Anolis sagrei: one gene and its partners. The protein of the gene in region 1 purifies or fractionates together with the protein of each later gene. This does not show direct contact. Links are inferred from orthologs where the notes say so. Each region holds a gene or a part of one and is shown in the gene's direction. Other genes may lie near its edges.

Region 1 (7,461 bases):
ATCATGACTGCATGGAGCGCCGTTACCTTCCCGCCAGAGCGGTACCTATTGATCTACTCCACCTTCAAATTAATGTTGACCCCAATGAGATCAATCAGTATTTATGTTATGAAATTGTACCTAAGAATGCAAGCTTAATAACCCTGTGGCCCATGTGCAACAAATGAAGCAAGGCATGTTTTGAGCAATCTTTGGGCCTGGGGCTCAGGAGATTTCCATTCATGAACGTCTTGGCTTTTTGGATCTGGATTAAGATCAAGTTTTCAAGATGAAATGCTCTTTTCTGAAGCCTTTCTTACTGGGACACCAGGGTTTGAATTCCTGCTCAGCTTTGGAAACCTATTGGGCGACCTTAGGCAAGTTACATCCCTCAGCCTCAGAGGAAGGCAAAGCCAACCCACCTCTGAATAAATCTTGCCAAGAAAACCCCGTAACAAGTTGGCCTTGAACCTTTGCATAGTATGGTTGTAATCATGTTTACTCACAAGTCACCCAGCAAAATAAACACAGTTCCCCATCCTGTAACCAGAACCTGTGCAGGTTTCCTCAAATCTCTAAGAGGGCTTACTCACACTACATAATTATAGTGTTCTTATTCCATTTTAACTGGCATACTTCCATCCTGTGGGCTCCTGGGATTTTTAGTTTGGTGCACTAAAGGGCTTTGGCAGTTCTAAATACTGCTCACTAAACTACCTATAGAGAATTAGTGCAGCACAATGGTTTAAGTCAGGGGTCCTCAAACTTTTTAAACAGAGGGCCAGGTCACAGTCCTTCAAACTGTTGGAGGGCCGGGTTATAATTTGGAAAAAAATCCATGAATGAATTCCTATGCACACTGCACATATCTTATTTGTAGTGCAAAAAACACTTCAAAACAATACAATAATTAAAATGAATAACAATTTTAACAAATATAAACTTATTAGTATTTCAATGGCTGATGAGATGGGATTGTTGTTGTGGTTGTTGTTGTGGTTATGTGCTTTCAAGTCATTTCAGACATAGGTTGACCCTCAGCAAGGGCAGGGTAAATTACCTTGGAGGGCCATATCCAGCCCTTGGGTCTTAGATTGAGGACCCCTGGTTTAAGTGATTAACTATTTTTAAGGAGACAAGGGTTTGAATCCTTACTCTTACATGGGGACCGCCTGGGTGATTCTGGACAAGTAACATTCTCTCAGGTTCAGAGAAAGGTGAACTCAGAAATATGAAAGAGTAGAGCTTGTGGTCTACCTAGGTAAGTGTGAATGTTGCAATTAGCCACCTTGATTAGCATTTAGTGGCCTTGCAGCTTCAAAGCCTATCTGGTTGCTGCCTGGGGGGATCCTGTGTTGAACAAAATCTGGCTAGGTAAAGATTTTCCCCTGACATTAAGTCCAGTTGTGTCCGGCTCTAGGGGGTGGTGCTCATCTCCATTTCTAAGTTGAAGAGCTGTTGTAGTTCGTAGACACCTCCAACCATGCTGGCATGACTGCATGGAGCTCTGTTACCTTCCTGCCGGAGTGTTACCTACTGATCTACTCACATTTTGCGTGTTTTCAAACTGCTAGGTTGGCAGAAGCTGGGGCTGACAGTGGGAGTTCAAACCGCACCCCAGATTAGAACCTGCAACTTTTTGGAAAGCGAGTTCATGCAGCTCAGTGGACCTTGTCGGCTCTGTGGTCTAGAAATGGAGATGAGTACCACCCCACAGAATTGGACAAAACTGGACTTAATGTCAGGGAAAACCTTTACCTAGCCAGATTTTAACACAAAACATTTAGCTCATATACATACATACACATACACACACACTCACATATGTATATGTATCTCTGTGTGTGTATGTCTGTGTGTATATATACACACACGCAAACACACACACATACATACATACATATATATATATACATGTATATGTATGTAAAAGGTAAAGGTTTTCCCCTGACATTAAATTCAGTCGTGTCCGACTCTGGGGGCTGGTGCTTATCTCCATTTCTAAGCCAAAGAGCCGGCATTGTCTGTAATAATAATAATAATATAATAATAATAAACTTTATTTATACCCCGCTACCATCTCCCCAAGGGACTCGGTGCGGCTTACATGAGGCCAAGCCCGAAGTACATCAAACAACATCAATAACACAACATTAATAAACAATCAATAAAATACAAATCATATAAATCACATAACAAAAACAATAATCAATAATGACATATTAAAAATGGCCGGGCCAAATGTAATAGATTGAAATTGAAAATATGCTGACATGAACAGGCAACATGTAACTGGGATAGGATTTTTCAGAGAGAAACGAGGGAACGCAATCCATCCTGTCAGTATTAAAGTGCATTATGAGGGCATATTGCTGAGAGTTCTCCTTATTCTGGGAAGGCACACTGGAACAACCATGTTTTCAAGCTCCTCCTAAAGACCACCAATGTTGGGGCATGTCTAATGTCCCTGAGAAGTTAATTCCAGAGTTGAGGGACCACCACCGAGAAGGTCCTCTTTCTTGTCCGTAGACACCTCCAAGGTTATGTGGCTGGCATGACTGCATGGAGCGCCGTTATATATATATATATACCCATACATATATATATACACACACATATATACCTATGTATGTGTATGTATGTATATGTACATACACATACACTACATTCGCAGCTGACAATGGAAGCTCAGGTCACTGCTGCCAGCAAACAGGCCTTTTTCCATCTACGACAAGCGAGGCAATTGGCACCCTACCTATCTGATGAGGCTCTGGCAACAGTCATCCATGCCACAGTCACATCTAGGCTGGACTATTGCAGCGCCCTGTATGTTGGCCTTCCGATGTCTACGACCCGAAAGCTCTGTATTGTTCAGAATGTGGCAGCCAGGCTACTCACAAGAACGCCCATGAAATGCCATATAACACCAGTGTTGCGGCATTTGCATTGGCTTCCAACTGATTACTGTGGTCTATATAAGATGCTAGTTCTGACCTTTAAAATTCTTTACCGCCAGGGTCCATCGTATCTTAGGGACCGCCTCTCCTTCTACCATCATCGGAGGTCGCAACGACCATCCCAACTGACTTACTTTATATACCGGGTCCTAGAGAAGTGCACTTGGAAAGGACCAGACGCAGAGCTTTTTCTTCTTCTGCCCTGCCTTGTGGAATTCCTTGCCACCCTATATGAAAGCCATTAGTGAGTTAGAGCCTTTTACCCTAGCACTTAAAACCTGGCTTTTTACTAGAGCTTTTGATCTTTGTTAATTTTATCAATATCTGTATTTTTATGCTTTACAATTTTAGCTTGTAAATCGCCTAGAGCATCTTGGATGGAGGGCGATTAATAAGTAATTAAATGGTGATGATGAAATATATATGTACATATATATACATGTACATTTTTGAGTCTTAACTCCATATATATATATATATATATATATGTATGATCTTGGGGTCCTCGTGGACAACAAGTTAAACATGAGCTAACAAAAGCCAATGGGATTTTGGCCTGCATTAATAGGAGCATAGTGTCTAGATCTAGGGAAGTAATGCTACCCCTCTATTCTGCTCTGGTTAGACCACACCTGGAATATTGTGTCCAATTCTGGGCACCACAATTCAAGAGAGATATTGACAAGCTGGAATGTCTCCAGAGGAGGGCGACTAAAATGATCAAGGGTCTGGAGAACAAGCCCTATGAGGAGCGGCTTAAGGAGCTGGGCATGTTTAGCCTGAAGAAGAGAAGGCTGAGAGGAGATATGATAGCTATGTATAAATATGTGAGAGGAAACCACAAGGAGGAGGGAGCAAGCTTGTTTTCTGCTTCCCTGGAGACTAGGAACAATGGCTTCAGACTACAAGAGAGGAGATTCCATCTGAACACGAGAAAGAACTTCCTGTCTGCGAGAGCCATTCAGCAGTGGAACTCTCTGCCCCGGAGTGTGGTGGAGGCTCCTTCTTTGGAAGCTTTTAAACAGGGGCTGGATGGCCATCTGTCAGGGGTGATTTGAATGCAATATTCCTGCTTCAGAAAGTACACGGAATGATAGAATCATAGAGTTGGAAGAGGTTCCTGCCTCTTGCAGAATTCTGGGGTTTGTAGTTTTGTGCGCCTGTTCCAAGCTTCTTCCTAAACTACAAACTCCAGAATTCTGCAGGAGGCAGAAACCGGATTTGAAGTGGATTCCCCCCCCCCCCCCGCCCCCTAGTGTGATATTCTAGGATAGATCAGGCATGGGCAAACTTGGGCCCTCCCTCCAGGTGTTTTGGACTCCAACCGCCGGTAGGCGGTTAGGAATGGTGGGAGTTGGAGTCCAAAACAGCTGGAGGGAGGGCCCAAGTTTGCCCCTGCCTGGGAGGGGGGTAGACCTGAAATGTCCAGAGTGTCAACAAAAGAAAGAGGGGAGAGGTATCCAAAAGGAGCGCCTTCTCTTCCCTTAGGAGGGAAGGGAGGGAGGCGTGGGCAGGAGAGGCGGGCGAAGAGAAGGAGAGAAAGAGAGAGAAAAGGAGGGCGGCCCAGTCCGTGCGAAGGGACGCGGGAGGCGGGAAGGAAGGAAAGAAGGCAGGCAGGAAGGCGAGGCGACGCTGAACAGGTGGCCAGAGGCAGCGGGCAGGAAGGCAGGCAGGCAGGCAGCAGAGCCTCCTCCTTCTCCTCATCTTCCTCCTCCTCCTTCTTCTCCTCTTGTTGGCCCACAGCATGTGAAGGGCCATCCACCCGCGGAGGCGCCTTGACCCGCTCTTCCCTTCCTCTTGGGCCTCTTGGGCCGTGGGAGGGGAGGATGAAAGTCACGGTCTGCTTCGGGCGGACCCGGGTGGTCGTGCCCTGCGGCGACGGGAACCTCCAGGTGGGCAGCCTTATCGAGCAAGCCGTGACCAGGTACAGGAAGGCCGTGGCGAAGGTGAGTCTGGGGCTTTGTATCCATGTGTGTGTGTGCGCATTATTATTATTATTATTTATTATTTCATTCACTTATACCCCGCCCTTCTCACCCCGGGGGGGACTCAGGGCGGCTTACAGGGGAGGGCACAATTAGATGCCCGAACACATAACAAGTAATACAAAAAGTAATACATTCAGTTGGGAAGAAGAAGGGAGCCCGAGAAGAGCGCGCCCGGGATCAATATGGCGCTTCCTGGCCTGGGGAGGGCTGGCGAGGGAAGAGGGAGCAAAGTGGGCCAAAGGAGAGCCCTGGAAGGAAGGGCCAAAGGGACAGAGCCCTCTCTCCCCGACTTCCCCCTTCAGTGGGTTCCGGAGTTGGAGTCTCAGCTTGGCCACAATCCGTGGAATAGCGAGCGACTTGGAGTGGGAAACTTTGGTGTGGGAAACTCGTTCCCATTTGGATACTTTTCTGCAATGTTTTGGGGAGGAAAAGGCTTGGAATATGGCTTCTCCTCTTCCTTCTCTTCCTCCTCCCACCACTTTGGGACGAGCAGAGATTTCTCCCTCCTTCCCGGTGTTGTGTTTTGGGGGGGGGGGGGGGGCTGGCGTCGCGAGGAGTCCCGAGGTGTTGGTGTGTTGCCTTCAGGGACTGAACTCTTTGTTGTTGCTCCCGCCTGCCGCTCTTTGGGCTGCAGCAAGTGGTTTGCCCGGAGAGTAGGCTTCCCTTCTTTTCCCATCCCCCTGTCCTTTTCAAGAGCAGCCTTCCCTTCTTTTCCTCTCCCTTCCCTTCTCTCTCTCAGCCTCCGTGCTTTGCAGGCTTCCCTTCTTTTCCTTTCCTTCCCCCCTCTTCCCCCCCCCGCCTTTTCAAGAGCAGGCTTCCCTTCTTTTCCTTTTCCTTCTCTCTCTCTCTCAGACCCCATCCTTTGCAGGCTTCCCTTCTTTTCCTTTCCCTTCTCTCTCTCTCTCTCCCCTCCTCCCCGTCCTTTTCAAGAGCAGGCTTCCCTTCTTTTACCTTCCCTTCTCTCTCTCTCTCTCTCAGCCCCCGTCCTTTGCAGGCTTCCCTTCTTTCCTTTCCTTCCCCCCTCCTTCTCCCTCCCCCCCCCGCCTTTTCAAGAGCAGGCTTCCCTTCTTTTCCTTTCCTTCTCTCTCTCTCTCTCTCTCTCTCTCTCTGAGACCCCGTCCTTTGCAGGCTTCCCTTTTCTTTTCCTTTCCCTTCTCCCTCCCGCGTCCGTTTCTCCCGTGGAAGGAGAGACTTTCCACGCCGAGATCTTCCCCCCCAATCTCTCGAGGTTTTGGAAGGCGTCAGATCAGGAGAATGTGGAGCTTTTTCTAGTTTCCCAAGAAATAGCATAACAAGGAGGAGGGGAAAAAAGGGAGAGATGGCAGCACCTCATTGTCGCCAGCATTCGTAAATATGCTTTATACATACATATAAAGCATATTATTTACACAGAATTGGGACATCATGTGACAGGATCCTGAAAAAAAATGCAAATTATGCCCCTTGTGTTAGATTTTCAAATGTTTTCTGGAGGTGATACAACTCCTTTAGATCTTTATACTGTTTACTTCTCAAGTGCTTCTTGCAACTGTTGCAGAGTTGTGTTTCATAGTTGTTGCAAAGGTTTTTGTTCACAATGAGAGAGAGAGAGCGAGCCTTCTTTGACTCTTTCTCCCTTCCTTTCCTGTCCCTCCCTCCCTGCCATGGGACAAGTTTCCTCCTCCTCTGCCTTTCCCTCTCCACGAGCTGTGGTTTCTGCAAAAGGCTTGAAATCCAGCCCCAGGCTTTCCAGCCAGTCCAGGCCCAAAGAAGCAAGCAGGGAGGGAGTGAGGGAGGGACCGAGGGAAGGGAAACACTCCACCAGAAATCATGGAGTCCCCCCTCTGCCTGGGAGTGGAGTTCTGAGGCTGCTGGAGCATGTGCTCTCTTGGACTTCTGCCTCTTTTCAAGCTGGAAAACAAACTCCTTTATAACAAACCTATGGCGTTAGACCAGCGTGGCTTATCCTCCCCTTGTTTTGAAAAGAGCTCTTATTGGAAAAGAAACAGCTTTTGCTGTAGCGGTGTGGTTGTGCGTAGTTTGAACACTTGCGGTAATACAGACTCTCTGCATTTCCAGAAAAATACTCTCTCAGTGTAGAGGAGAGATATTTGTCTTGTTTCTGTGAAGGGGATTCAAACCATTATTACATTTCAGGAGGAACTGTGGCTGATGTGTCCTTCCAGAGAATCCAGTCTGTTACACACTAACTTGCCCTCCTACTCTGCTTGCATCATTCCTGGTTTTGTGTCCAGTCACCACTTCTCTCCATACAATTCATAAATATATCTGAAACAGGCCCAATTTTGGGGTAGGGGGAGGGGGAGACACATATAATTATTATTATTCAGCCTTGGAACAGTATGTGAGCATGTACAAAAAACATTGAGCGTCCCTGTATTGTCAAACTGAGATGTGAGCTTTCCCGGCTGTAAGGCCATGTTCCAGAAGCATTCTCTCCTGATGTTTTGCCTGCATTTATGGCAGGCATCCTCAGAGCTGGGGTTTTTTTTTGGTCGTGTCAGGAGCAACCTGGGAAACTGCAAGTCGCTTCTTGT
Region 2 (7,867 bases), on another chromosome or scaffold:
TGCATGCCCAGTGTGGAACACATCTCACCACACTAAAACAGTAGATGTGGCTCTTAATGAGACATGCCGCATTATCACAGGGTGTCTGTGCCCCACACCACTGGAGAAATGACACTGCTTAGCCGGTATTGCACCATGAGACATCTGACGGCAAATAGCAGCCAATAGTGAAAGGACCAAGGCAGTGACATCTCCAGCTCATCCCCTGTTTGGGTATCAGCCAGCACGTCAACGACTTAAATCAAGACATAGTTTTCTTAGATCTACAGAGACACTCGCTGGAACACCCCAGCAAGCGAGAGTCCAAAAGTGGCAGGCCCAAACCCAGCACCTCAATTCGTGGGTGATACCAGATGAGAAACTCCCCCCTGGGCACACAGAAGACTGGGTGACTTGGAAGGCGCTGAACAGACTGCGCTCTGGCACCACGAGATGCAGAGCCAATCTTAAGAAATGGGGCTACAGGGTGGAATCCACGGCATGCGAGTGCGGAGAAGAGCAAACCACTGACCACCTGCTGCAATGCACCCTGAGCCCTGCCACATGCACAATGGAGGATCTCCTTGCGGCAACCCCAGAGGCACTCCAAGTGGCCAGATACTGGTCAAAGGACATTTAACCAAATACCAAATTTGCAAAATCTGTGTGTTTTTTTTTTCCTTTTTCTTTTTAATCGGTGTGTTTGTTTTGCTCTGTTAGAATTGCAATACAATGGTTACTGATGACACGATAAATAAATAAATAGCAGCATGTAGTGCAAAACTTTAGTGGGGAGCTCAGGACAAGCGATTACTTAATCACACTAGAGAATGAATCCACTTTAAGTCCAGATTCTGCCTCCTGCAGAATTCTGGGGTTTGTAGTTTAATGAGGCTGTTAAAAGCTCCCCTCTAAACTACAAACCCCAGAATTCTGCAGGAGGCAGAATCTGGATTTAGAGTGGATTCATTCTCTAGCGTGATGAGGTCGCAAGTCCCACTGCAGCAGAAAAACCTCAAAAGAGACAAACCCCCTGAAATCCTACAACAATGCAAAATATGCATCCCACCCATGATAACCCGCACATAAGATGGTTATGCATCAATGTGCAGCCAAGGTTAAGGCTGTGCAGAGAGACCTCTGCCAGCCATATTCCAGAGTAGTCTAGCAGTGGATGAGAGGCTGAACGTCTGAGCTACACTGTGACAAGTCGGTAGAGGCAACATCTTTCAGCACCAAAGGCATCATCATCCCTTCCACATAGAGCGAATTGCAGCTTACCAAAGGAGAGGCCTTTTGGGTTCAGAAAGGGAACGGCTACTGCGAGAGAAGGAAAACATGCCTAGTGTCGAGAAATTGGATTTTCCCTTTCAGTGTCATTTAAACCTTAGAGCCTCTAAAAGAAATGTATTGGCAACAGTTTCAGAACAGGCCGTGCTTTGTCCCAAAATGCGCACCAGAACGGATCGTCTTATGTTTCTTACTTTTCATGATCAAGGAGATAAGATATGGCAAAGCGCACGACGACGGCACACTTTCCAAACTGATATGTAAACAAGGAGAAAGAAAGGAAGAAAGAAAGAAACCCAGCTTGGCAGCACGGCTGTTGCCAACTCTTACCCAATGTATTCCATCTCTAGCCAAGCCGAGAGATCCTTTCAAAGTGTAAAATCAAATTAAAAACAACAACAACAACAACAAAAGCATGCTATTAAACTGGGAGAAAAATCTCTTTCATGTCCAAAAAACCCCGTTTCAAACCCCCCCAGTGGCAGGAAAACTTGGCAACCGTCAGGGTGACAGCAAAAAGATCTAAAGGCTTTGATCCAAAAATAAATAAAGGAAGAGCGTCAAGTGTTTTCCCCAGTTTTTATTTCAAGTCTAAAATTCATGATGTTGAAACAGACTTGTGCGGCTGGAGAGAGGCCGGTCTGTTGTGGAGCCTTTGAAGACTTGTCACGGGCAGCTTCAGCCCATTCCTGGGTTTAAGAACTACTAGCCATCCCCTGCCACGCATTGCTGTGGCCCAGTCTGTGTATATGTGTTTTGTGCGTGTATATATGTGTATATGTGTCTGTGTATGTGTTTATGCATAAATATATATTTGTGCATGTGCGTATATATGTGTGTTTGCATATATATGTGTGTGGTTTTGCACATGCATTGGAATGTTGTTCTTTTTTAGGCTTTTAAGTCCCTTCTGCTGTGTTTTCCAGTGTTTTTCTGAGTGATGGTCACTCATTGGCCTGAGAGGGGTCTTGGTCCAAATTTGGTGTCCATTCGTCCAGTGGTTTTTCAGTTTCATTAATCCCACAAACAAACATTACATTTTTATTTATATAGACTAGCCATCCCCTGCCACACGTTGCTGTGACCCAGTCTGTGTATATGAGTTTTGTTTGTGTATGTATGTGTATATGTGTGTGTGTATGTGTTTATGCATAAATACACATGTGGTTATGCCAAAACCCACAGTGGGTTAAACTGTTAAACTTGCTAATGGAAAGGTCGTAGGTTCGAATCCGGGGAGTGGAGTGAGCTCCCTCTATTAGCCCCAGCTTCTGCCAACCTAGCTTGGGAGTGATCCTGGACTCATCGCTGAGCCTGGAACCCCAGGTCTTGGCGGTGGCCGGGAGAGCTTTTGCGCAATTAAAACTTGTGCACCAGTTGCACCCATACCTTGGGAAGTCTGATCTGGCCATGATGATCCATGCTCTTGTTACATCCCGAATAGACTACTGCAACGCGCTCTACGTGGGGTTGCCCTTGAAGACTGTTCGGAAACTTCAACTAGTCCAGCGAGTGGCAGCCAGATTGCTCACTGGAGCGACATACAGGGAGCACACCACCCCCCTGCTATGCCAGCTCCACTGGCTGCCAGTTCAATTCCGAGCACAATTCAAGGTGCTGGTTTTAACCTACAAAACCCTGTGCGGTTCTGGTCCAGTGTATCTGTCTGAACGTATCTCCCTTTACGTCCCACCTCGGAGTTTGAGATCATCTGGGGAGGCCCTGCTCTCGACCCCACCACTGTCACAAGTGAGGCTGGTGGGGACGAGAAGCAGGGCCTTCTCAGTGGTGACCCCTCACCTGTGGAACTCACTCCCGGGGGAAATTAGAGCATCACCATCCCTCCTCTCCTTCAGGAGGAGGGTGAAGACATGGTTGTGGAACCAGGCCTTTGGGCAACCAGGCAATTAAATAAGACAATTAAATAAGACAATCAGATGTGCAAGATCAGCAGGATTGTTGAAGTGGAATCAAAAACAGATCTATGAGTTAGTGTACACTGATAGGGTAGGAGGAAGAATTAGGTTTGTATTGATTTTATTGATTTTATCGATTTTAATTGTTTTTATTGGGATAATGGCTTGAATTGTGCTAACTATGAATTGTTGTACTTCTGTGATGATTGTTTTGTGTGGCAGGCATCTAAGCGTGCCTTTGCTGTTGTAAGCCGCCCTGGGTCCCCTACGAGGTGAGTAGGGCGGGGTACAAGAACCTCAAATAAATAAATAAATAAATAAATAAATAAATAAAATTCGAAAACATGCAAATGTGTGAGCAGATCAATAGGTACCTCTCTGGCGGGAAGGTAAGGGTGCTCCATGCAGTCATGCAGGCCACATGACTTTGGAGGTGTCTGTGGACAACGCCGGCTCTTGGGCTTAGAAATGGAGATGAGCACCAACACACACACACCCCGAATCGGAGACAACTGGACTTAATGTCAGTGGAACAATGTGGTTATGTGCGTGCATTGTAGTGTGGGTTTTTTTTTTTTTTTGGCTTTTTAAGTCTTGTCTGCTGTGTTTTTCAGTGTTTTTATAAGTGATGGTCACTCCGTGGCCTGATTGATGTATTGTCTGTTCTTTCCCTCCTTCCTTCTTTCCTTCCATTTCAGTCTTCCCTTCCTGCTTTCCTTCCTTTCTATCTTTTTTCTTTCCTTCCCTCCTTCCTTTTTCCTTGTCTTTCTTTCGCCTCTTCCTTCTTTCTTTCCTGCCTTTTTTTCCTTTCCTTCCTTTTCTGTCTTTCTTTCTCCCCTTCCTTATTTCCCTCCTTCCTTCTTTCCTTCCATTTCAGTCTTCCCTTCCGTCTTCCCTTCCTTTCTTTTTTCTTTCCTTCTTTCCTTTATTTTTTCTGTCTTTCCTTCTCTCCTGCCTTTTTTCCTTGTCTTTCTTTCTCCTCTTCCTTCTTTCTTTCTTGCCTTTTCCCCTTTCCTTCCATTTCAGTCTTCCCTTCCGTCTTTCCTTTCTATCTTTTTTCTTTCCTTCCTTCCTTTATTTTTTCTGTCTTTCCTTCCCTTCTTCCTTTTTTCCTTGTCTTTCTTTCTCCCCTTCCTTCCTTTCCTACCTTTTCCCTTTCCTTCCTTTCCTTCTTTCTTTCCTTCTTTCTTTCCTACCTTTTTTCCTTTCCTCTTTCCTTTCCTTTCCCACCTTCCTTCCTTCTTTCTTTCCTTTCCTTTCCTTCCTCCCTCCCTCCCTTCTGTTTCTGCCCCCCCCCCTCCCCAGCCGTGATGCTGCTCCCGACTCAGGTGCTGGACCCACAACCGGGATGGCAGCGGGGCAGGTCCCTGGCGAGGCGGGGTGGGGGTTGCGGGGTTGCGGGGGGGGGGGTGCGCCCCGGTTGCCAAGGCGACGTTGTGGGCCTCCCTCCCTCCTTCCCCGGGGGGGGGGGGCGTCCTGCTCGTCCCGCCCCTTTTCGGCGGCGCTTCTGCGGCCAATGGCGCGCCTCACTCTCCCGCAACCAACCTGCGGGGCCGGTGACGTCAGGCGCGGCGGCGGCGGCGGCGGCGGCGGCGGTGGTGGTGGCGGGGGCGAGATCCCCGGGTCCGCCTGCCTGCCTGCAGAGGAGGAGGAGGAGGCGGAGGCAGAGGGGGAGCCGGGCTAGCCCCCTCCTCTCCTCTGCTCTCCCTTTCCTCCTGTCCCGGTGGGTCCCCCCAGCATGGCCAAGCCCCACCGGACGCCGGCGCGCGCCTCCGAGCCCGTCATCGAGGTCAAGAGCAAGGTGAGCAGTAGTCCGCAGCAGGTGCCCTCCCTCTCCCCCCCCCACCCCGGGATGGATGGTGGGGGTCTCGGCGCCTCCGCCTCCTACGCCCCCCCCCCGCCCCCCAGGCGCCCTCCCAGCAGGGATTATGCAACCAGGAGGAGACCGGCTGGGGAGGGAGGGAGGGAGGCCTCCGGAGGGGGGGGGGGCTCCTTCCTCCTTCCTTCCTTCCTTCCTTCCTTCCCAGGCACAGCCATTGGTGAGAGAGGATGCTCCGGCTTCCCATTGCCTTCCCATCAGGAGCATTATTTTAGAGCACTGGTACTATTGTGTATCTCTCTGTGTGTGTGTGTATAGAGAGAGAGAGAGAGAGAGAAAGAGTTATTTTTCAATATTTTATTGCCATTATATTATTATTTTATATTACTATATATATATATATATATATATAAATAATTTTATCTCTGTTTATTATTATTATTATTATAGTATTATTGTATGCATATATATATTGTTTATATTATTTTGTTGACATTATATTATTACATGTATTATTTTATAGTATTATTGTATGTGTATATATAAACACATTGTTATTTTATATTATTTTGTTGCCATTGTATGTTATTTTATAATAGTATTATTATATATTGTTTTATTTCATATAATTTATTATTATTATAGTATTATTGTATGTGCATATATATAGTTATTTTATATTATTTTGTTGCTAATTATTATATATTATTTGATATTAATATTATTATATATTATTTTATTTCATATAATTTATTATTATTATAGTATTATTGTATGTACATATAGTTATTTTATATTATTTTGTTGCCATATTATTATATATTATTTGATATTAGTATTATAAACACACACATATATATACATATACATATATATAATTTCACATGAATCATATTATTTATTTATATTTATTTATATATTTATATTTATTTATATATTTTAGAGGACATTGACTGGAACAGCAATTCGACTGACAAGACTGTTTTATTGTTTTAATGCTTGTTGATGTATTGTTTTAACTTTGATTGATGTTTAATTGTGGTTTTACTATTGTAATTGTTTGTATTGGCATCGTATCGGTGCCGATGTAAGGCATTGAAACTTGCCATTATTTATGTGTAAATCGCTTTGAGGCCCCCCAGGGGTGAGAAAGGCAGGATATACATACTGTAAATAAAATAAATAAATAAATTTATGATTATTTTGTTAATATTATTAGTCTATTGTGTATTCAGTATATATTAATACTTTATATTATCTTATTCCTATTATTTCATATTATATTGCTATTATAATAATATAGTACAATATATTAATATAATACAATTGTATATTATGTATTACAGGTCATCTTACTAATAATTATTTGCAGTATAGTGGTGTAGTGCAATATAGTAATATATAACATTAGTATTGAGCTATGCTAATAATATCATATATTGTATATAGATATAATATTTATAATAATATTATAATGTAATACAATATGATACTAATAATAATACAATATTACAATATGTAGTAAGAATATTGCAATATAGTAATGGCCTCCTGGTGGTGCAGTGGGTTAAACTGCTGAGCTGCTGAACTTGCTGACCAAATGGTTGGTGGTTCGAATCCAGGGAGCAGGGTGAGCTCCTGCTGTTAGTCCCAGCTTCTGCCAAACTAGCAGTTCAAAAACATGCAGATGTGAGTATATTAATAGGTACTGCTTCGGCAGCAAGGTAATGGTGCTCCATGCAGACATGCCAGTGGCCACATGACCTTGGAAGCGTCTACGGACAATGCCGGCTCTTCAGCTTAGAAATGAAGATGAGCACCCTAGTCTTGTCCAACTCTGGGGATTGGTGCTCATAGAATCCTAGAATCCAAGAGTTGGAAGAGACCTCCTGGGCCATCATCCAGTCCAACCCCATTCTGCCAGGAAGCAGGAATATTGCATTCAAATCACCCCTGACAGATGGCCATCCAGCCTCTGCTTAAATGCTTCCAAAGACGGAGCCTCCACCACACTCCGGGGCAGAGAGTTCCACTGCTGAACAGCTCTCACAGCCAGGAAGTTCTTCCTCATGTTCAGATGGAATCTCCTTTCTTGTAGTTTGAAGCTATTGCTCCATTGCGTCCTAGTCTCCAAGGAAGCAGAAAACAAGCTTGCTCCCTCCTCCTCCCTGTGGCTTCCTCTCACCTCCTGATCCATGGCCCTCATCATGTCTCCTCTCAGCCTTCTCTTCTTCAGGCTAAACACACCCAGCTCCTTAAGCCGCTCCTCATAGGGCTTGTTCTCCAGGCCCTTGATCATTTTGTTGTTGTTCATTCGTTCAGTCGTCTCCGACTCTTCGTGACCTCATGGACCAGCCCACGCCAGAGCTCCCTGTCGGCCGTTACCACCCCCAGCTCCCTCAAGGTCAGTCCAGTCACTTCAAGGATGCCATCCATCCATCTTGCCCTTGGTCGGCCCCTCTTCCTTTTGCCTTCCACTTTCCCCAGCATAATTGTCTTCTCTAGGCTTTCCTGTCTCCTCATGATGTGGCCAAAGTACTTCAACTTTGTCTCTATTGATCATTTTAGACGCCCTCTTCCTCTGGACACATTCCAGCTTGTCAATATCTCTCTTCAATTGTGGCGCCCAGAATTGGACACAATATTCCAGGTGTGGTCTAACCAAAGCATCTCCATTTCTAAGCCGAAGAGCTGGCGTTGTCCATAGACGCCTCCAAGGTCATGTGGCCAGCATGACTGTATGGAGTGCTGTTACCTTCCCGCTGGAGTGATACTTATTGATCTACTCACATTTGCATGTTTTCAAATTGCTAGGTTGGCAGAAGCTGGGGCTAACAGTGGGAGCTCACCCAACTCCCTGAAT
Region 3 (7,118 bases), on another chromosome or scaffold:
CCTATGTAGACTTGTCCACAGCTGCATGGTATACGGTAGACTCCTGCAGAGGTGAGAGGATCCCTCTTGTCCTTTGCTGAACGTAGCATTTGTTGGATTTTCTTGGTGGGTTTGTAGATTGTTTGCATGTTGTGTTTCCTCATCAGCTTCCCTATGTGGTCAGTGGTTCCCTTGATGTATGGCAGGAACACTTTTAATCTGGGTGGATCTTCATCTTGACTCTCGTGGCTTGTTCTTGGTCTTGCAGCTCTTCTGATGGCTGAGGTGGAGTATCCATTGGCCTGGAGAGCCCAGTTGAGGTGGTTCAGTTCATCTTGGAGGAGGTGGGGTTCGCAGATTCTTTTTGCACGGTCTGCCAAGGCTTTAATGGTGCTTCTTTTTTGACTTGGGTGATGGTTGGAGTTTTTATGTAGATATCTATCTGTGTGTGTGGGTTTTCTGTAGACGGTGTGACCCAATTGTTGATCTGGTTTGCGGATGACTAGGACATCTAGAAAAGGCAGTCTTCCTTCATTTTCTTTTTCCATGGTGAACTGGATGTTTGGATGGATGCTGTTAAGATGGTCCAGGAACCTGGCTCCAAATGGTGAAAGTGTCATCCACATATCTGAACCATATCGTGGGCTTTTTGGTTGCTGTCTCCAGGGCTTGTTCTTCAAAGTGTTCCATGTAGAAGTTAGCTATGACCGGGCTGAGAGGGCTCCCCATAGCTCTTCATTTTTTGCATCTCATAGACTTCGCATGGGGATTTGGTTAACCAGTTAAAATTCATGAGTAAACCAGGTTTTTTTAAAAAAAATCTGAAACATTTGGGGGGGGGGGGTTGAACCCCTAAAACCACCCCCTCGCTACAGGCCTGCACATCACCAAACCAATATTACCAAACTTCCCCCCTCCCCCTTCCCCTCCCAAAAAAATATACACACATTCCAATATGTGTGTATGAATTTTCTCTACAGTCTACCTCCCCCCCCCCCAAATCTCCCCAGCGATGATTCTCTGCGGGTGCCTGGCTTGTTCTAGGTGCCTCCCAGCCGGGATCAATGCGCTCTACGTGGGGCTGCCCTTGAAGACGGCTCGGAAGCTCCAACTGGTCCAACGATCAGCAGCCAGGATGCTAACTGGGGCCCCTTACAGAGAGAGGTCAACCCTCTTGTTCAAGGAGCTCCACTGGCTGCCATTTAATTTCCAAGCCCTATTCAAGGTGCAGGTGCTTACCTACAAAGCCCTGAACGGTTTGGGACCAGCCTACCTGCGTGACCACATTTCCATCTACGAACCCACGCGTTCTCTTCGGTCATCTGGAGAGGCCCTGCTCGTAATCCCACCGGCGTCGCAAGCGCGCTTGGTGGGGACGCGGGACAGGGCCTTTTCTGTGGTGGCCCCCCGACTCTGGAACACCCTCCCCAAAGACCTTAGACAGGCCCCTACATTGGCTGTCTTCAGAAAGAACTTGAAGACCTGGCTTTTCCGATGCGCCTTCCCAGATTAGGAAATCTCCACTACCAAGTCCCATAAGCACCTTATCAGAACCAATGATTGCTGCACATCGCACTTGCCCTGGAAGCCCTATATACACCTCCTGTCACATCAGCACTTTTAATCTTGTACCCATTGCTTTGGCCTGGCCCAGTTTTATTGTGTTTAGTGTATTGTGCCTGTTGTTTATTTTGCTTTATTCTGTTTTTAATTGTTTGATTTGCTTAGATTGGACTGTTGTGTTGTGTGTTGAGGCCTCGGCCTGTGTAAGCCGCATCGAATCCTTCGGGAGATGCTTGTTGTTGTTCATTCGTTCAGTCATCTCCAACTCTTCGTGACCTCATGGACCAGCCCACGCCAGAGCTCCCTGTCGGCCGTCAGCACCCCCAGCTCTTTCAAGGTCAGTCCAGTCGCTTCAAGGATGCCATCCATCCATCTTGCCCTTGGTTGGCCCCTCTTCCTTTTGCCTTCCACTTTCCCCAGCATAATTGTCTTCTCTAGGCTTTGCTGTCTCCTCATGATGTGGCCAAAGTACTTCAACTTTGTCTCTAGTATCCTTCCCTCCAGTGAGCAGTCGGGCTTTATTTCCTGGAGGATGGACTGGTTGGATCTTCTCGCAGTCCAAGGCACTCTCAGAACTTTCCTCCAACACCACAGCTCAAAAGCATCGATCTTCCTTCGCTCAGCCTTCCCTAAGGTCCAGCTCTCACATCCGTAGGTTACTACAGGGAATACCATGGCTTTGACTAGGCGGATCTTTGTTGCCAGTCTGATGTCTCTACTCTTCACTATTTTATTGAGACTGGACATTGCTCTCCTCCCAAGAAGTAAGCGTCTTCTGATTTCCTGGCTACAGTCTGCATCTGCAGTGATCTTTGCGCCTAGAAATACAAAGTATGTTATGGAGAGAGATATTGACAAGCTGGAATGTGTCCAGAGGAGGGCGACTAAAATGATCAAGGGTCTGGAGAACAAGCCCTATGAGGAGCGGCTTAGGGAACTGGGCATGTTTAGCCTGAAGAAGAGAAGGCTGAGAGGAGACATGATAGCCATGTATAAATATGTGAGAGGAAGCCACAGGGAGGAGGGAGCAAGCTTGTTTTCTGCTTCCTTGGAGACTAGGACGCGGAGCAATGGCTTCAAACTACAAGAGAGGAGATTCCATCTGAACATGAGGAAGAACTTCCTGTGAGAGCCGTTCAGCAGTGGAACTCTCTGCCCAGGAGTGTGGTGGAGGCTCCTTCTTTGGAAGCTTTTAAACAGAGGCTGGATGGCCATCTGTCAGGGATGATTTGAATGCAATATTCCTGCTTCTTGGCAGGGGGTTGGACTGGATGGCCCATGAGGTCTCTTCCAACTCTTTGATTCTATGATTCTATGATTCTATGGCCTCCACATTTTCTCCCTCTATTTTCCAGTTGTCAATCATTCTTGTTGCCATAATCTTGGTTTTTTTTATGTTTAGCTGCAACCCAGCTTTTCTTTCACCTTGATTAGAAGGCTCCTCAGCTCCTCCTCGCTTTCGGCCATCAGAGTGGTGTCATCTGCATATCTGAGGTTGTTAATGTTTCTTCCAGCAATTTTCACCCCAGCCTTGCATTCATCAAGCCCCGCACATCGCATGATGTGTTCTGCATACAAGATAAAAAGGGGATTGGGTTAAACAATTAAAATTCATGAGTAAACCAGGTTTTTTTAAAAAAATCTGAAACATTTGGGGGGAGGGGGGTTGAACCCCTAAAGCCACCCCCTCGCTACAGGCCTGCACATCACCAAACCGATATTACCAAACTTCCCCCCTCCCCCTCCCAAAAGAATATACACACATTCCCAGGCCTGTAGCGAGGGGGTGGTTTTAGGGGTTCAATCCCCCCCCCCCGAAATGTTTCAGATTTTTTTAAAAAACCTGGTTTACTCATGAATTTTAACTGGTTAAAAAAATCCCCATGCTAGGTCTATGAGATGCAAAAAATTAAGAGTCCCTCCAGAACTGTAAGCACTATCTCAAGCAAATATTGACAATTTATTCACACTGTCATTACTTTCAGCAATAGCGGATGTAGTGAAGCAACCAAGTTGGGTGGGGTGTGTCTGTTGAATGCTCTCATTAAGGAGGCCAGACTTGGTGGAGGTGGTTGACAGGGGTGGAGCTGCAGACTATTGAAGGTTGCTTTTCCCCCTGCTGTGCTCTTTGCTTCAGCGTGAGCTAGGAGGTAGGTTTCAACCCCCCCCCCCCGAAAATTTCAACCCTCCCTGAAATTTTCAAACCCCCCCACTGAAATTTTAACCCCCCCCCCTGAAATTGTCAACCCTCCCCGAAATTTTTTTCTGGCTACGGCCCTGCACATTCCTATATGTGTGTATGAATTTTCTCTACAGTCTACCTCCCCCCCCCCCCCCAAATCTCCCCAGCGATGATTCTCTGCGGGTGCCTGGCTTGTTCTAGGTGCCTCCCAGCCGGGATCAGTGACCGGGAGGGAGAGCTTGACCTCGTGCAGCAGGCGCCCATGGGCGCGCGCCTCCCCTCCGCCGGCAGGAGCGGAGGGAAGGCCTGGCCCCCTCCTCTTCCTCCTGCGACGGATGCGGATGCTGCTGCTGCTGCGGCTTTAAGAGCTCCCACGCCTCCCTTTCGGTCCCTCCTGGAGGAGAAGGCAGGCGGACCGTCGGGGAAGAGCTCCAAAGACGCAGCCAGGCGGGGGCGGGGCCAGGAGGCCAGCTCCAAACTCCGTTGCCTGCAGCCAACTCAGCGAGAGAGATTGGGCGCGCGCGCGCGAGAGAGAGAGAGAGCGCGAGGCAAGGAATCCAGTCAGGGAGGCAAGCAGGGCGCGAGCTTCCTTGGCTGGGGAAGGGGCGGAGGCAAGCCCGCAGCGGCGACTGCAGAGAGGAGAGGAACCCCAGCCGCGGATGGAGCCGTAGCCAGAGAAGCCCGTATGTACAAACTTCGGCGTTGGCGTCCCTTCCCTTCACCGCTGCCTCTCCTCGCTTCCTTCCTTCCCTCCCTTCTCCTGCTCTTTTGGGCTCCTCTCTCTCTCTCTCTCTCTTTCCCCCTCCCCGCCTCCAGCATTCCTTCCTTCCTCAGCTGCTTTCTTGCAGGGTTTCCTCTCATTCCTCAAGTCCTCCCCTCTTTCCGACTTGTCTTCCGCTTTGCCTCCTTGACGGCTTGTTTTACCGTCCCCCCCCCCCCCCCCAATTTTCGGCCTCAGCATCATTCCTCCTCCCTCCCCCCTTCACTTGGTCCACCCATAGCAGGCAGCCTGCTTAGGTTTACTAGGAAGTTAATGCATCAACTCAGGATGTCTTCAAACGTCAGCCTGATTTCCCAAACTTGTTACTTTTTTTAAAGTCATAAATTATGAAACTGGCAGCACAATCCGTTGAAAAGAACCCCAAACAGCCCCTTTTGGTCAACACAAATATATTCTTAAGCCACCCCCTCCCCCACACACATTTCTTTAAAATAAGAACAATATCTATATAAATAAAAATGTAATTTGTGGGAGTAACATAACTCAAACACCACTGGACGAATTGACACCAAATTTGGACACAAAACACATATCAGGCCAACGAGTGACAATCACTCATAAAAACACAGCAGAAGGGACTTCAAAAGCCAAAAAACAAAATTTACATTACAGTGCATGCTCAAAACCACACACACACACATACTAGCTGTCCCCTGCCACACGTTGCTGTGGCCCAGTCTGTTGATCTGGAAAATAAAGTAACGAGAAAGTGTTGGTTTCTAATATATGTAATTCCTTTATACTTGTGGGTAAACAGTACTTCTTGTTGTTTCTTTGTCATTGTTGATGTGGAGAGTGCCTGGTTTGCCCATCCTGGAACATGCAAGATATCATTATCCTTCTTTAAGGGTCCCTTTCAAATCTATAATACTATCTCTCTCGCTGTGTGTGTGAATCATATCTATCTATCTATATCTATCTATGGTTGGGTGGCTTTTTGTCAGGAGGACTTTGATTACGTTTTCTTGCCCTGAAGAAGGGAGTTGGATTGGATGGCCTTAAGTATTTTCTGTTGGTCATGGGGGTTCTGTGTGGAAAGTTTGCCCCGATTCTGTCGTTCGTGGGGTTCAGGATGCTCTTTGATTGTAGGTGAACTGTGAATCCCAGTGACTACAACTCCCAAATATCAAGGTCTATTTCCCCCAAACTCCATCTGTGTTCATATTTGGGCGTATTGAGTGCTTGTGCCAAGTTTGGTCCAGATCCATCATTGTTTGAGTCCACAGTGCTCTCTGGATGTAGGTGGACTACAACTCCCAAACTCAAGGTCAATGCCCACCAAACAATTCTAGTATTTTCCTTTGGTCATGGGAGTTCTGTGTGCCAAGTTTGGTTCAATTCCATCGTTGGTGGAGTTCAGAATGCTCTTTGATTGTAGGTGAACTATAAATCCCAGCAACTACATCTCCCAAATGACAAAATCATAATTTTTTGAGTGATGGTCACTCCTTGTGTTGTAAGATGTTTTGTTGCCAAATTTGCTGTGATTTCGTTCATTGGTTCTTTTGTTTTTAAGGTACTCATTACGTACAGAGTATTTATATATAGAAAGAAAGAAAGAAAGATAGATTAGTGAAAGAAAACTTACTATAGGACGGGCCAAATCAGAAGGACATGGGAGGCAAAATGGAAGGGTCTCATTTCCAGAATAAAGGGGAAAGATAAGTATAAGGAGTTAAATAAGACTAACCTCGTGATTGAACAATTGTAATAAGAATAGCAAAAGTAGTAAACTGTTCCTGGGCGGGGGGAGGGGGGAGATGTGGATGGGTGGTGGTGGGATTTGGGAAAATACTGGTATTTTGATTGCTGATTTTGAAGATTGTATCTTTCTATGTCTGATACAATAAAAATGTAAAAAAAAAAATTAAGAACAATACTAGGTTGGCAAGCTTACCTATTGACTTCATTAGGACTTCCTTCTAATGAGCATGCACAAACACTGAGGATCCATCTGTTTTCTAATGTTTGAGTGGATTGAGGGGCTTTTCTGGGGGCCCTTCCACACAGCTGTATAAAAATCCACATTGAGCAGGATTCTATGGCAGTGTGGACTCAGATAATCCAGTTCAAAGCAGATATTGTGGGTTATCTGCCTTGATGTTCTGGGTTATATGTAAGCAGATGTACATTTCCTTCCTGTAATGCAAACCAATGCAGTGGCCTCACTGTACTGTTATTTTTTCTTAACGGTTCGGTCCCCACCTATCTTTGCAATCGCATCTGAATCTATGAACCGGCGCAAATTCTAAGATCTGAGGAGGAGGCCCTCCTCTCGCTCCCACCTCCGTCACAACCATGGTTGGTGGGGACGAGAGAGAAGGCCTTCTCAGTGGTGCCCCCCCCCCCCACCTGGCCTCTGGAACGCCTTTCCAAGGGAAATAAGACAGGCCCCATCCCTCCTCTCTTTTCATAAGAGTTTGAAGACTTGGTGGTTTCAGCAAATCTTCGAGAGTGACCAGTGCTAGCTCAGTCCAGACACTGTCCGGACACAACCTAGCCCCCTATATAGTACTCTGGTCATTCTAACAGGCTCCTGGAAATAGCTTTTGTTCCCACTTTTGTCGTTTTACCTATTACAGTACTGTACCCAAATGCTGGTCCCATCTTATT
Region 4 (7,264 bases), on another chromosome or scaffold:
CTGAACTTGCTTCCTTTCCTTGGTTGACTACAGTACCAAGTCATTTGTGTGATGTTGGGCAACCGATGATTAATATTTTTGAAGAGGTGAGGTCCCAAGATTTCTGCCTTATGAATGTACCTTGCTGACTTCAAGCAACCTTTCGGGCACACCCTCCTTATCTGGAACTCCAACCATGCGAAGAATGCAAGGGGGAGAAATAAACTTCCTTCATAGAAACCTAATAAACCTGGAGTGATAAAACCTTCCACATGATGAGTATAAGCACTCAGAGTTCAACTGAACGGCTTTTGCGTCTCAGAAGCAGGTCAATTCGACTGACATGAAAATCCTCTCCATGTGATCTGTATAGTTTGGGAAAGTTACTTTTTCGAACACTCCTGAAAAATGTAATAGACCTTTTGGACATATACACAGCTTACACATATGTATATTAATAGGCAACACATTCATATCCTAAGTATTCCTTCCACCCTATACTGAAAAATTATCAAAGAAATAACTGATTTGTATGTACAAATGAATTCCCAGTATACAAAACTATGTTCATTTTCAGCTTCAATATACCTATTGATTTTGATCCCTTCCACTTGTTTTTGTTTAGTTTTGATATATTTAAATAATTTGTTTGAGGTTAGAGTTCAAGACAAAAGATTTGAACTGTAAACAGGCCTGCCCTATCCATGGTTACACAGAAGTAAGTGTTGTGAGTTAATATAGTTCATTCCCAAACAGAATTACAGTCAAGAGTGCATCTATATTGCAGAATTAATGCATTTTGACACAACTTTAATTGATTTGGCTCAAGGCTATGGAATCCTGAGACTTGTAGTTCGGTGAGGTGCCAGAACTTTTTGGCACAGAAGATTAAACTCCTTGTAAAACTACAACTCTCAGAATTCCATATCATTGAGCAAAGGCTGTTATAGTGGTGTCAAACTGCATTATTTCCAGTGTAGATCCACCCTGATACACACTTGTGCCATCCAATTAAATGTTGTTGCCTTAGTGTTCACATAGATTCCCCATTAGTCCACCTGTCTTTTACTTGAAAGAAGAATATTTAAAGTGTTAAACCACGAGAAAGATTTCAAACTCTTTAGTCCAGCATAAATTTTGCAGCACACACTTCCAGACCCAAATGCATCTTCATTCACTGAATGACACGGGCGTGTCATTCAGTGAATGAAGATGCATTTGGGTTCATATATCTGTTTCCATAAGGAGACTTAGAAACACCTACATAAGAATTCAAAAGACTCTTTCTAAAAGTATTTCACAATTCAGCCTTTTATAGCAGACACAAAAAAACTGTCATAACAGTATTTTAAAGATTAACACTGTTTTCTTGAATTTCAGTAATAACTGGCTGATAAGCGTAATGAAATCAATAGGGTTTGCATCTGATAATCCACAAACGATTGCATTAGGAATTTGCTATTCCTCAGTCACTTTCAAATGTACCATTTATGTCTTTTCAAGCTGAAACAGACTAAAATACTTTTGGCTGTGAATAATGCCACAATAGGCCTAAAGTCATTTTTTAGTGTAAGTTCTACTTACTTTAATAAGATTACTCAAAATACAACTACCATATATCCAGCCCAATAAATAAAGAACAGTAGGCAGCAGCTGAGATGGAGAGAAATTACAAAGCATGTCCTCTATGACAAGGAATTGTTAAGGAATTAAAGATATGCAGATATATGCTAAAAAGTAATGGCTTCACAAAAGAACTGGTCTGTGAAAACACAAGTGTCCTAGATTTGTTCTATTAATTAACAACAACAGCAGCAGCAGAGCATACATCAATTGAAACTCAGATAGATAAACACTATACTTCTGGAGAAGTTTCAGATCAACTGTTTTAACAACATTGCCCCTTTGAATCTGTATTATTTAAAGAAGGAGCTTTTCAGATATTTATTTATCATATCAGAAGCAAGTAGAGGGTACAATTAGAATGTATTTAAAACACAAAGTTAAAAACTTGGCATTATACTAAGTCTTTTGACCAGAAGCTGGCCACTTGGAGTGCCTCCTAAAGGTGTCGCTGTAAGAAGGTCCTCCATTGTGCATGTGGCAGAGCTCTGGATGAATTGTAGTAAGTGGTCTGTGGTTTGCTCTTCTCTATACTCACATGTCATGGACTCCAATTTGTGACCTCATTTCTTAAGGTTGGCTCTGCATCTCGTGGTGCCAGAGCGCAGTCTGTTCAGCGCCTTCCAAGTCGCCCAGTCTTCTGTGTGCCGGGTGTGTGTGTGTGTGTGTGTGTGTCTCATCCAGTATCAGCCACAAATTGAGGTTCTGGGTAACTTTTCAGGTGATCTATGGAATAAACGGCGAGACTGAAATGTCTTCCCACTGGCTTCTAAATGTTGCCATTTCTGATATCAGATTCGTGTCCATTTTTTTGTTTAGAAACAGATTTATTCTGTGCAGGGCACAAGCTGGATCTATACTGCCATATAATTCAATTTGAACTTGCAAAATATGGTCAATGTAGATCCGTATAATGTAGTTCAATGCAGGACAATTGCATTATGTAGATCTACACATTGTGTGGATCCAGCCACTGCTGAAGGTCATAAAATGTGTCATGTTGGAAGAAAATCAAGTAAATTATCACCCTTGATGTTGTTTATCCTGTAACAATATTGTTTGAGTAGATATGGAGATGAAACCATAAACAGCCTTTTTAATCAGTAAACAAACTTTTTTTCATGAATTTCTTAGAATCATAGAGTTGGGAGAGACCATGTGGGCCATCCAATCCAACCCCTTGCCAAGAAGCAGGAAAATTGCATTCAAAGCACCCCCAACAGATGGTCATCCAGCCTCTCTTTAAAAGCCTCCAAAGAAGGAGTCTCCACCACACTCTGGGGCAAAGAGTTCCACTGCTGATCAGCTCTCATAGTTAGGAAGTTCTTCCCCATGTTCAGGTGGAATATCCTTTTCTGTAGTTTGAAGCCATTGTTCTGCGTCCTAGTCTCCAGGGAAGCAGAAAACAAGCTTGCTCCCTCCTCCCTATGACTTCCCCTCACATATTTATATGTGGCTATCATGTCTCCTTTTAGCCTTCTCTTCTTCAGGCTAAACATGCCCAGCTCTTCTTTCCCATCCCCAAAATACATTATTGAAGTATTCTTATTTTTTCTCTGAAGCACTTCAAGACTTTGGTTGGAACTCTTTTCAATTGAGATCACAAATTGTTACTAAAGTTAAAAGATTATAAATGCTGTAACTATTTAGAGTCATGTTTATTGTCATGAAGGAGCCCTCGGTGGCGCAGTGGGTTAAAGCGCTGAACTGCTGAGCTTGTTTACTGAAAGGTCGCAGGTTCAAATTCGGAGAGCGGTGTGAGCTTCTGTTGTCAGCCCCAGCTTCTACCAACCTAGCAGTTCGAAAACATGCAAATATGAGTAGATCAATAGGTAATGCTTCTGCAGGAAGGTAACAGTGCTCCATGCAGTCATGCTGGCCACATGACCTTGGAGGTGTCTACAGACAATGCCGGCCCTTCGGCTTAGAAATGGAGATGAGCACCACAACTGGACTTCATGTCAGGGGTAAACTTTTACCTTATTCTCATGAATGATGGGGCAACTCTGCAAAGAAAAACAATGCACTGTTTTTCTACGGATGAAAACTAATGGGTTTCCAAGGCTCTGAAAATCTGTTGCTCCAGTAACTAGGGATCCATCTGCACTATAGACTTAATGCAGTTTGATACTTCATTAAATGCCATGGCTCAGTGCTATGGAATCCTGGGAGTTGTAGTTTAACAAGCCCTCTCTACCAAGATACAACTACCAGGAGTCCATACCGGTGCCAAATTGCATTAATCCTACAATTAATCCTGCATTAACCGCCCTAAGTCCCATTGGGGAAAGAGGGTGGTATATAGATAAAGTTGTTGTTACAACGTAGTGCACCTTTCCATTGGAAAAAAAAACTATCAGCAGCCGCGCATGCGCCGTCCTCTCCCTTTCTTTGGAATCCAGCCCGGCAGGTATTTCTCTCCCTGCTGTCTAACACAACACCTCCTCCTTCCCTGTCCCAATGGCGCAGGCGCAGTCTGGATCCTGCCTTCCCTAGCAGGTGCCTTTCTTTTTTCTCTCCCTCTAAGAAGCAACAGGTGCGCATGCGCCTCCGGGGCTCGCAGGTGTGCAGGGGCTTTCCCCTCCTTGTGGTGGATCCGCGGGGCGGCTCCGCGTCCGCGCATGCGCGCTGCTTCCTCCTCCTCCTCCCCTCCTCCTCCTCCTCCTTGGAGCTGCAGGTGCCAGGAGGCGGCGGCTGGAGCTGCTGCGGCGCTGCTGCTCTCGGGCGGACCTTTCCCTTCCTCGGGATCGGCGGAGAAGGAGCCCCAGCTTCCAGTCCGAGCGACCCTCGGGCGGCATGAACCGGGTCCAGCGGGGAGGAGGCGGAGGAAGCCGCGGCCTCGGCCCCATGGAAGTCAAGAGCAAGGTGCGTTCCGCCTCCCCCTTGCTCCCATTGGGCGGGATCGGGGGCTAAAGCGGGATTCGCGTCCACACTAGCGGGTGGCACGCGCTTCAAGGAAGGGTTGGAGACAGCCAGGGCCTTGTTTGTCCCCTTCGGTTGTCAGGGAAGCCGGTTGCTGTGTTTGGGAGGGAGCTTGTGTCGAATCTGGGGGGTTGGAGGGTGCTTTTGTTCTCCTCTTCCTTAAGTGCACAAGAGTGCCCCTGAGCATACGCAGAGAGGCTTCCACGCTGCGTCAGGACATCACTGAGGTTGTCTGATTGGGAAGTGGGTTTGTCGAATCAGGAAATGGTACTCCTTCTTCTTGAGTAGGCAAGAATGCATCTGGGCATGTGCAGAGAGCATTCATTCTGTCGATTCTGGAGTTGCCCAGCTTGGGAAGTGGTTTTGTCGAATCTGGGAACGGTTCTTCTGCTTCTTCGGAGGCAAGAGTGCTTCTGGGCATGTGCAGAGGGCATTCATTCTGTAGATTCTGGAGTTGCCCTGATGGGGAAGTGGTTTTGTCGAATCTGGGAACGGTTCTTCCATTTCTTCAGTAGGCAAGAATGCTTCTGGACATGTGCAGAGGGCATTCACTCTGGGGACTCTGGAGTTGCCGAGATTGGGAAGTGGTTTTGTCGAATCTGAGAATGGTTCCCCTTCATCTTCAGTAGGAAGGAGTGTTTCTGGGCATATGCAGAGGGCACTCAGCCTGGGGACTCTGAAGTTGCCCTGATTGGGAAGTGGTTTAGTCAAATCTGGAGATTTTTTGAGGACGCAAGATGCTTCTGGGCATGTGCAGAGGGCATTCACTCTGGGGACTCTGGAGTTGCCCTGACTGGGAAGTGGTTTAGTCAAATCTGGGAACGGTTCCCCTTCATCTTCAGTAGACAGGAGTGTTTCTGGGCATATGCAGAGGGTATTCACTCTGGGGACTCAGGAGTTGCCCTGATTGGGAAGTGGTTTAGTCGAATCTGGAGGTTTTTTGAGAACACAAGAGTGTTTCTGGGCATGTGCAGAGGGCATTCACTCTGGGGACTCTGGAGTTGCCCAGATTGGGAAGTGGTTTTGTCGAATCTGGGAAAAGTTCCCCTTCATATTCAGTAGGCAGGAGTGTTTCTGGGCATATGCAGAGGGCACTCAACTCTGGGGACCCTGGAGTTGCCCATGCTTCTGGGCATGTACAGAGGGCATTCACTCTGGGTAGCCATGGTCATTCGCTAACACCACACTTTTTCATGCACACAGGACATGCAGGAACTCTGTGAGTCCACTTAGAACTCACAGCCACACTTACAATCCCAATACTTATTTTCCTAGAAATAATAATAATAGAAGTAAATATGGGATTAAAAAGGCAAACTTGGGCCTTTTGGGTGTTTTGGACTCCAACTCCCACCATTCCTAACAGCCTCAAACCCTTTCCTTTTCCCCCTCAGCCGCTTAAGCAGCTGAGGGGGGAAAGGAAAGGGCCCGAGGCTGTTAGGAATGGTGGGAGTTGGAGTCCAAAACACCCAAAAGGCCCAAGTTTGCCCATGCCTGGGTTAAACCTATGATGAGAAGGAAATACATTACTATATGTCTTCTGAGGGCATAAGCACCCAAAAAGTACCAAACTCTGGACTGATCTTGGAAGCTAAGCAGGGTCAGCCCTGGCTGTTTCTTGGCTGGGAGACTGCCGATGGACTCTATTTCAGAGGAAGGAAGTGGCAAAAAGAGCTCTGACTATTCTTTGCCTTTGAAAACCCTATGAAATCCAATGGGTGGCTGTAAGTCTGGTCTTAGAGCAGGCATGGGTAAACTTGGGCCCTCCTGATGTTTTGGACTTCAAGGCCCACAGTTCCTAACAGGAGCCCCCGGTTCGAATCCGGGGAGACTGCAGATGAGCTCCCTCTGTCAGCTCCAGCTCCCCATGCAGGGACATGAGAGAAGCCTCCCAAAAGGATGGTAAAACATCAAAACATCCGAGCATCCCCTGGGCAACATCCTTGCAGATAGTCAATTCTCTCACACCAGAAGCGATTTGCAGTCTCTCAAGTCGCTCCTGACATGGGAAAAAAAGTTCCTAACAGTTAGGAATTGTGGGAGTTGAAGTCCAAAATACCGGGAGCGCTCAAGTTTGGCCATGCCAGCCTTAGATGCTAATCAGGGACAGCCATGGTTAGCACTTGGATGGAAAAGAGCCCCCGGTGGCGCAGTGGGTTAAACCCCTGTGTCGGCAGAACTCAAGACCCGACAGGTCACAGGTTTGGACCCGGGGAGAGGCAGATGAGCTCCCTCTATCAGCTCCAGCTTCTCATACGGGGACATGAGAGAAGCCTACCACAAGGATGATAAAAACATCAAATCCAGACGTCCCCTGGGCAACATCCTTGCAGATGGCCAGTTCTCTCACACCAAAAGCGACTTGCAGTTTCTCAAGTAGCTCCTGACACGACATAAAACAAAAAAAAACTTGGATGGGAGACTACCAGGTGCTGTAGGCTATATTTCAGATTGAGGAACTGGGCCAAAACCACCTCTGAGTTTGCTTAAGAAAGCCCTATTGAAATGCATGGGGTCTCCATAAGTGGACAGATGACCTGAAGGCATATACACACCCACATCTATCTATCTATTTATCTATCTATCTAATAGGTGAACAGGTAACCTGAAGGCACATACACGCCCACATCTATCTCTCTCTTTTCTGCTTTCTGGGTGAGGTGAGGTGAGAGATCGAGCCAAGTATCCCTAGAATCACTTCCTCCTATCAACAACACTTCTAGGTTCTTGTGGGTTTTTT

Evidence for each region.
Region 2: the proteins of PARD3 (region 1) and PARD6A purify together in Homo sapiens (co-immunoprecipitation; 7 studies listed by BioGRID and IntAct, with this or other methods). This does not show direct contact. The link is inferred for Anolis sagrei from reciprocal best matches to the Homo sapiens genes PARD3 and PARD6A.
Region 3: the proteins of PARD3 (region 1) and RASSF8 purify together in Homo sapiens (affinity purification with mass spectrometry; 4 studies listed by BioGRID and IntAct, counting the BioPlex papers as one, with this or other methods). This does not show direct contact. The link is inferred for Anolis sagrei from reciprocal best matches to the Homo sapiens genes PARD3 and RASSF8.
Region 4: the proteins of PARD3 (region 1) and PARD6B purify together in Homo sapiens (affinity purification with mass spectrometry; 5 studies listed by BioGRID and IntAct, counting the BioPlex papers as one, with this or other methods). This does not show direct contact. The link is inferred for Anolis sagrei from reciprocal best matches to the Homo sapiens genes PARD3 and PARD6B.

Annotation. Positions count from the first base shown.
Region 1 is NC_090026.1:114,015,418-114,022,878, reverse strand, and holds the start of PARD3 (partitioning defective 3 homolog), read left to right. Parts: upstream 1-4,455; 5' UTR 4,456-4,762; coding exon 4,763-4,882; intron 4,883-7,461. UniProt on the Homo sapiens protein: Adapter protein involved in asymmetrical cell division and cell polarization processes. Seems to play a central role in the formation of epithelial tight junctions. Targets the phosphatase PTEN to cell junctions.
Region 2 is NC_090028.1:43,969,430-43,977,296, forward strand, and holds the start of PARD6A (partitioning defective 6 homolog alpha), read left to right. Parts: upstream 1-4,852; 5' UTR 4,853-4,923; coding exon 4,924-4,986; intron 4,987-7,867. UniProt on the Homo sapiens protein: Adapter protein involved in asymmetrical cell division and cell polarization processes. Probably involved in the formation of epithelial tight junctions.
Region 3 is NC_090025.1:91,142,263-91,149,380, forward strand, and holds the start of RASSF8 (ras association domain-containing protein 8), read left to right. Parts: upstream 1-4,097; 5' UTR 4,098-4,407; intron 4,408-7,118.
Region 4 is NC_090024.1:222,696,969-222,704,232, forward strand, and holds the start of PARD6B (partitioning defective 6 homolog beta), read left to right. Parts: upstream 1-4,257; 5' UTR 4,258-4,398; coding exon 4,399-4,467; intron 4,468-7,264. UniProt on the Homo sapiens protein: Adapter protein involved in asymmetrical cell division and cell polarization processes. Probably involved in formation of epithelial tight junctions.